2 linked regions of the Ovis aries genome follow. The main gene of each other region encodes a partner of the protein of the gene in region 2 in a complex. Links are inferred from orthologs where the notes say so. Each region holds a gene or a part of one and is shown on either strand. Other genes may lie near its edges.

Evidence for each region.
Region 1: SMC2 (region 2) and NCAPH share a complex: the UniProt entries of both Homo sapiens proteins name them as parts of the condensin complex. The link is inferred for Ovis aries from reciprocal best matches to the Homo sapiens genes SMC2 and NCAPH.

What each region holds. Positions count from the first base shown.
Region 1 is NC_056056.1:104,030,028-104,034,395, reverse strand, and holds the start of NCAPH (condensin complex subunit 2), read left to right. Parts: upstream 1-1,444; 5' UTR 1,445-1,479; coding exon 1,480-1,498; intron 1,499-4,368. UniProt on the Homo sapiens protein: Regulatory subunit of the condensin complex, a complex required for conversion of interphase chromatin into mitotic-like condense chromosomes.
Region 2 is NC_056055.1:18,991,322-18,994,966, forward strand, and holds part of SMC2 (structural maintenance of chromosomes protein 2), read right to left. Parts: intron 999-3,645; coding exon 888-998; intron 694-887; coding exon 649-693; intron 1-648. UniProt on the Homo sapiens protein: Central component of the condensin complex, a complex required for conversion of interphase chromatin into mitotic-like condense chromosomes.

The DNA of each region.
Region 1 (4,368 bases), on a different chromosome or scaffold from region 2:
GCAGGGGGCACGCGGTTCCATCCCTGGTCAGGGAACTAAGATCCCGCATGCTGCGTGGCACATGGCACAGCGCAGCCAAAGAAAAACACAAAAACAAAAAACCACAAGGGTGACAAGTTCTACTGATGCCTCCAATAAGGACGCTTGAGTGTATCAGGGAAGGCCTCCCTGAGGAAGTGACATGAGCTGAAACCTGATGGGAGTTAACTGGGTGAAGATGAAGATGAAAAGGATCCTGAACTTAGGAAACATCACCCTGGGCCCCAGGAGAAGGGGGTCAGAGCAGGTTTGTGGCTGCTGTGGACCAGCAGGAAGGAAACATGGATGAAAAGAGATGTAGGATTGAAGAGACTTTTAGCAACTAAAGAGAGTCCAGCAATGGATCCAGCAGATAGAATGAGGGAGAGGGAGGTGCCCAGCATGGCTCCTGGGTGCTGATTTCGGTTCCTGGGTAAACTCATTTTATTTCTTCTATCGAACATTGCCTTATACGAAAGATTTGAAGGTGGTCACTGGGAGCACAAGTTTGTGCAAAAAGTAAATCGGCCTAAAAAAGTCGTTTTCAACGGGTAGTACTTTTTTTTGGTTACCAAAATGACTGAAGGGCATTCAGTGAGCAGATGGTGTCAGAGACACTGGACAGTCCTACAAAGAGGGCAAGAGTGTCACACGCTAAGAACTGTTTCACCCTGAATGCCAACAGCACCCTTGCAAAGAAGCACTGTATAAAATGTCACGTGTTAAGAAATTAAAGGATGCTTTAGGAATATTTGAGGGAACAGTCTTTTCTCCCATAATACAATTCTTTGGTTGCAATGAGTGGAATTAACAGGCAGCACAAAATCACCTGTCTCACTTCCAATCTTAACCTTACTTTTTTGGGGATAAGATATCTAGGAATCTTTTCGCATGAATATATACTAGCGAAAGTCTTCATTAAAGCACACACAACATCTTGCATCAGTTCCCCGGCCTGTAAACGCTCTGCATTCCGGCGTCCGCTCCCTCTCACCTCCATCCCACACCCAGTCCATCACTTTCGCCCTCCTTAGTGAGTGTTCTGCTGCCCTCACAGCACAGGTCGCGATGGCCAAATCAACCTTTGTTTCCTTGGTCACCTGCCTCCTCCCTTAGTGAATTTCGTGAAAGCAAAGGTGCCGCCCGCTCAGCTCCACGCTCGGTTCTTAGGGCCCAGTTTCGCGTCTAGCGCTTGACAGGACGGAGTCTCCATACTATTTCGTGAGGTGGGGGCGTGCGCCACGGATCCACTACAGTCCACCCTCACGACTCGAGCCGAGAGCCCTCAATACTGATTTCCCCCTTCCACGCGGCTGGGCCGACACTCCTCGCGCGGAGGACCAAAGCGGTCTGCGCAGGCGCGCCTCCGGCCCCGCCCACGTTGGCGTCATCACGGCCGTTACGGCGACCTGGCGTCTCGGCGCGCAATTTAAAACCAGCTCCGGCGACGCGGAGGACAAGATGAGACCTCCCTGCCCTGGTGAGGCTGTGCGGCGGGGAGGCGAGGCGGGAAGGGCGCGGTGCGAAGCGGTGCGAAGCGGGCGGGTCTGAGCGGGGAGTGCGGTATTCTCGGCCTTGTTGGTTTTGTTTTCCCGGGGCTGAGCGAGAGGCCGGCAGGCTGGGAGAGGAGGGCCGGCGCGGGGTGGGCAGGCGGGCAGGTCCGGCCAATCAGGACGCGGCGTCGGCCCGGGCTGCTCTTCCGGCCTTGAGCCGGATACCAGACGCCTTTTCCTCGGGCTCTTACACCTTGGGTGGTGTCTCTTCGTTAAAAAATGAGGTTTTCCCGGAGTGCACGTTTGTTCAGGGCCATAGGAGTATGGCGGTTACCGCTATGTGGTTATTAGGCTTGCATTTCTGTTTACATCCTTTCAACAAGTCCCCAGTGTCCTCATTGGGCCAGACCCTCTCTCAGATGTAGAGATCGATTACAATAAAGAACAAAACAGATAAGATCCCATCCTCTTAGAGCGCGTGTTTTAGTTCGGAAGAGAGGGAACTAAATAGTTACAGATGAGGCTGAGTGCTCACTTTGAGAAGAGCAGACTCGGGGGAGGAACTCAGAGATCTTTAAGATTCTGGAAAACGGGTTCCAGGCAGAAGGAGCAAGCACACAGAAAAGAGTAAGCGAGAAAGAGCCTTACACGGGCAAGGACCATGACATTGTAACTGAACATCGAGTGACGTCCGACCGGTCAGCAGGGGCTTTGTAGGTCTTGTGACGAGGTTTGGAAATTGAGAGTTACTTTTTTTGGACGTGGTAAGTGACTTACCTGAGTGGGTCAGGTAATCACTTGGATAAGAGTTTGACGCTAGGGGCAGTGATACGAACTGCTCAGGGAAGTGGCCTATGGACCAAGAAGTAAATTTGGTCATCATTACTGTATAGCTCCCAGCTCGTTGGTGGCTCCGATGGTAAAGAATCTGCCTGCAGTGTAGGAGAGGCAGGTTCGATCCCTAGATCAGGAAGATCCCCTGGAGAAAAGAATGGCTACCCATTCCAATATTCTTGCCTGGAGAATCCCATGGACAGAGGAGCCTGGCGGGCTACAGTCCGTCAGGTCACAAAGAGTCTAAGCTACAGGCCTGAGCGACTAACACTTTCACTTTCATTGTATAGCTGGCAAAACCATGGAAATAGGTGAGAACACCAGGAACACCCTGTAGAGAAAACACTTGCCACCAATGTTTAGAAGCTGATTAGAAAAGGAAGGGCTGGCAAAACTCAGAGAAGAGTGGTATAGAAGCCAAGAAGCCTCGGAAATCTCAGAGGCAGAGTGTTGTCAGCTCTTTCAGGTGCCGTTGACTCTCAAGAGGGACGAGGCCTGAAAAGTGACCATTGGGTTTGGCAGCATGAAAGTTGTGGGTGATGATGACGAGACAGTTTTCATACAGTGGTGGGCATGGGAGCCACACCAGAGGGGTTGAAAAATGAGTAGGAGGTGACGAAGTGGATATACAGTGTTTTTGAGCTCAGTAATCCATCTGTTGAAAGAATGGATGTATAATGTTAAAGGGAAGGAGAGAAATTTGAGGAAAGACAATTCTGAGAAATAAGGTGTGGCTCAAATTTCCGTTTTAAGTTTCCCTCTTAGACAGATTCCTCCTTTAATGCTTTCTATATCTGTTTTTCTTCTGAGGTCCAGCTTCCTTCCTTACATTGGTTGCAGTGCCCACATTCAAGTAGTCACAAGTCCTCTTGATTTAGCTTCTAAAACTGTCTATTGCCTCCTTCATATTTTTACTTTCTTTTGTTTTGCCCTCAGCTGAAGGTTCTGCTAATCATACTCTTTAGCTTGTGGGACGCTATCAGGGAAACTTATAAAGCTGTATTTTTAATTCTCTTTGATCCCCAGTCATCATTCCTTTCCTTCCTCTTGCTTGGGCAGCCTTCTAAATTTATATCTTTATTTTCTTTTTGGATGTGCTGGGTCTTCGTTGCTGCGCAGGCTCTCTGCTTGCAGCGAGCAGCAGCTGCCCTTTGTTGTGGCGTGCGGGCTCAGTCATGTGGCTCCCGGGCCCTAGAGCCAGGGCTCAGTGGTGTGGCACAGGGCTTCACTGCCACTTGGCGTTGGGATCCTCCCGAGCCAGGGATCACAGCTGTGTCCTCCATCGGCAGGCGGGTTCTTCACCACTGAGCCACCAGAGAAGCCCGTGGGCAGCCTTTTAGTGTTTGCTGTGTGTCACTGATGTGTTTTTATGAAACTAATGTGTTCTTATCTAACGTGTGTTATATTGTGGGGTTTTTTCACATCACCAGTTCTGAACCAGCCGAGGTATACATTCTTATTCTCATTTGGAGGATGAGGAAGCAAACCTTTAGAGCATTTACTTAAAATTTCTCCAGCTAGTAAGTGATGGAGCTGGAATTTGAAGCCAAGTCTTCTGATTCTTAAATCTGAAAACTGCCCCCAGGTTCCTTCACCTCTCCCCTCCAGTGATCGCTTCTTGGCCTGCTCTCCTCGGCGGTGGCTATTCACCCTGTGGTACCCTAGACCTTATCATCATCAAGAACTCTGCCGCTCTCATCCCAGTGCGCCCTGCCTCTCAGGCCTGTTGTTCCAGCTTGCTCCTCGCCCTCCGGCTCCAGCAGCCCTTCGACCCGGCAGACCTGTCTGCTGCGCTCTGCTCCTCCCTGTCTCACCTCTCTCATGCCCTCGCTCCCTTCCAACATAGCTTGCATTCCGTGGTCAATCTGTGTGATCACTTCCCTTCTTAACGCCCGTAACCCCTTACCCTCTTCTTGCCTCTCACACTTGCTTGTGACAGAATCACAACTCTGATTAATCCCTACTCTGCCCCAGGCCCCTTGCACCCTGTCCTCCCAAGGGGACCCTAAGGATGCCCAGCAGC
Region 2 (3,645 bases):
ACTAAATCATACATACAAAAGCAGAGCCTTAAAGTTCACAATTTTTCACTTTTTCCAATTACATCTATGCTACTGTATAGATTCAGTGCTTGAGAATTATCAAATTTTAATGAACATGTAAGAAATTTCTAAATACATGACTTAAAATACTTTCACTGAAACAGTGATATGATGTCAGAAGTGCAAAGATTATAGAGAAAACAGCCATCTGTTTCAATACCTATTATCTACTAACTGCCTTGACAGCAGTAATTTTAGTGATAACCCCTCTTACCCTAGAAGTTACTCACTCTACCAAGAGGTTCTAAGAGTACCATACCTGTAAGAAATATTTATTCCACTCAATTCTAACTATCCAGGAAAATTTAGATTTACACTTGTCTTCAACAAAGAATGAAAATCTGGCATGTTGCTTTCTGAGATTATGACAGTCAATCTCTAAAACCATTATGACTTAACAGATACGAAATGCACTGTCCCCTATAAGCAGAAGGTTGAGCATGGACTATCAACTCTAACTCCTTATCTCATCTCCAAGAAACACTTCTGAGGAATGGAACACATGTCACCCCCATGAGTATCATCATGGATTCATCACCAATTTTGAGAGACATTCTAGCTGGCTGTCCTCACATATACAGTACACACCTCTTTTAATTTTTGAATGGTTGGAGTAATTTCTTCTTCAAGTATCTGGAAAATAAAGGAAAAAATATTTTTGAGTACGTGAAGTACCACTAAAGAAATTTAAAAGGTAAGAGACTAAGGAAAACTGACCAAAGGCTGGGGAGAGGACAGGTGTGGTAAAATTTCCCTCTTTTACAGCAGAGAAACTCTAAAAGAAAAGTACTCTCTTCCCTAAAAATATTTTATATAAATTTAATTACCGTCTTAATTTCTCTCAGCTTAGCCTCCTTTTTTTCTATAGTCCTCTGAGCATTTTGTTTTTTGTATTCATACATCCTGGTTCCAGCTGCTTCTTCTATCATGGACAAAATCTGGAAAGATAATTGCATTAATGTTTTAAGAATCAAAGCCAGTGAGTCTCACTGGAATTTACATTAGGATATTACTTAAGGCCTTAACGCCATGAAGTAACTTAACAAAATAGTTAAGGACCATAAAAGTTAAGTACATTAAAAAAAATGTACATATTATCTATAACCCTAAGATTCAACAATTATTTCTGGCCTTCACTCCAATTCTAAAATCAAACTTTATGCTACACTGAGGTTCCAGAGTACGTATCTTTGAAAACTGAAGCCAGTAATTCCTGAGAGGGTAACAGGCAGGAAGGCCAGGGGTCTCCAAAGGGAGGAAATAGCCTGCAAGTGTCAGACATTTTTATCTCTCTTAATTGGCAAGAGGAAACAAACTAGCGATATTTTTTTCCTTCTCTATACAAATTTAAAAGGAGGTTTTTCTTAAAATACTGTGTTGCCATAACGACACCTGGTTTCACCTGAAGTTAACTATTCTCAAACCTTGAGATAACCAATGCATTTTTCTTATGGAAATGTTTGTCTTAAGCTATGCTAATGTACTATGCATTTACCCCAGACTCTGTCTTCAAGCAGGTTTGGCCTCTTGGCTCAGAACCTACTTGACAAACCAGTATGTTATACGCAGATATTGTTTCCCAGAGGTTAAAGCGTCTGCCTATGATGCGGGAGACCTGGGTTCGATCCCTGGGTCGGGACGATCCCCTGGAGAAGGAAATGGCAAACCACTCCAGTACTCTTGCCTGGAGAATCCCATGGACGGAGGAGCCTGGTGGGCTACAGTCCATGGGGTCGCAAAGAGTCGGACACGACTGAGACTGAACTGAACTGAACTGAATCTATGTAAACGAAACTATTTGTATGGTAATCTGTCCTTCTACAAGATTGAAGTTAATCATTTTATGGCCCAGGATGAACCATTTGGTGCCAAGGTTATCCCAAAATGCATCTTATGGGTAAGGGGCTTGGTGCCATTCTGAGTTTTAAGACATTCCTTTCTTTCATTAACAGACTGCCCGCTGCTGCTAAGTCGCTTCAGTCATGTCCAACTCTGAGATCCAACCAGGCTCCCCTGTCCCTGGGATTCTCCAGGCAAGAGAAGAGACTGCTAGTGACTGTATATAACATCCAGCTGAAGATTAGAAGTGGGGTACTCTTTCTGCCCCCTTTTGATGCCTATGTCAGAAGCTTTCTCTATCTCCTTTATACTTTAATAAAACATTATCACACAAAGCTCTGAGCGATCAAGCCTAGTCTCTGGCCCCAGGTTGAATTCTTCTCCTCCGGAGGCCAAGAACCCTGGCCGCCTTTTTTCATTCAGCAACAACCTTTCATTCCTCCTTTCTCTTTTCCTTCAAATATAAGAAGAAAGTAAAAGCTAACTAATACTTCAATTTATAAATTTCTACTTAAAACTGTTCCAAGTGAGACTTGAGCTGTTTTGTTCCTACAAAGATGAAGCGTGGCCTAACATTTACATTCCAACTGTGGCAGATACTTTAAGAACTTGGGCAAGTAACTTAGTTTTCCCTGTTCCTCTTTCTTCATCTGCTGAGGACTGAAAGTATCTCAGTGCCATTGAGAAGTAAAGTAACTCACGTGAGTACACTGAAAAAGGCAAACACTAATTATAATTTTATAAGGACAATTTTTTAGCACTCCCTTATCAGAAGCTTCTAATCACTATCAATCCCTACCTCAAGAGGATTATTTCTCTGAAAACTAGTTTGATTTCTATATATTGGGCAGATTTTGAATGAGAAGTTTCCCTTAAGATGTTATCTGCAGAAAGTTAAGTGTGACCTATGGTTAAACCAGACTAGTATCATCAATTATCAGTTGTCTTTTTAGTTCTTCTCCATAGATAAAAATGCCAAAAGAGCCTTTGCTCTTATACAAAACATTTATTCCTTCATATCAACTCTTCTCAAGGGGGCTCCAAAACAAAATTAAGTCTTAATGTCTTAAGCAATCCATTATATCTAATGAATTAATTTCACTCAAATCTCTTCCCATAGGGTTTAACTCTGACATGGAACACGAGCTGAGAAAAGCTACTTTAGAACCAAAATTTCTTTTAATACTGTATGGGCACATAGAACTCCTAGAAAAAAAGTAAGTGGTAAGCTCCCGACATCTGTGTTAGTGATGATTTTTTTTTTTTTTTTTTTTGGATTTGATACCAAAAGCAAAGGCACTAAAACCAAAAATAAACAAGCAGGACTACATCAAACTAAAAGGCTTCTGCATAGGAAAGGAAACCATCCACAAATACAAATCAGGCAAATACAAATCAAAACCACAATGAGACATCACCTGTCAAAATGGCTTTTATCAAAAAGACAAAAAATAACAAAGACTGGTTAGTATGTGGAGAAAAGGGAAAACCTGTATACTGTCTGTGGGACTGTAAACTGATGTATCCATTATGGGAAATAGCATGGAGGTTCCTCAAAAAATTAAAAATAGAACTACCATATGATCCAATAATTCTACTTCGGGACATTTATCTGAGGGAACCAAAGACCCTAATTTGAAAAGATATCTGCACTTCCATGTTCACTGCAACATCATTTGTTACAGTTAAACATGGAAACAACCTAAGTGTCCACTGATGGATGAATGGATAAAGAATACAATATTT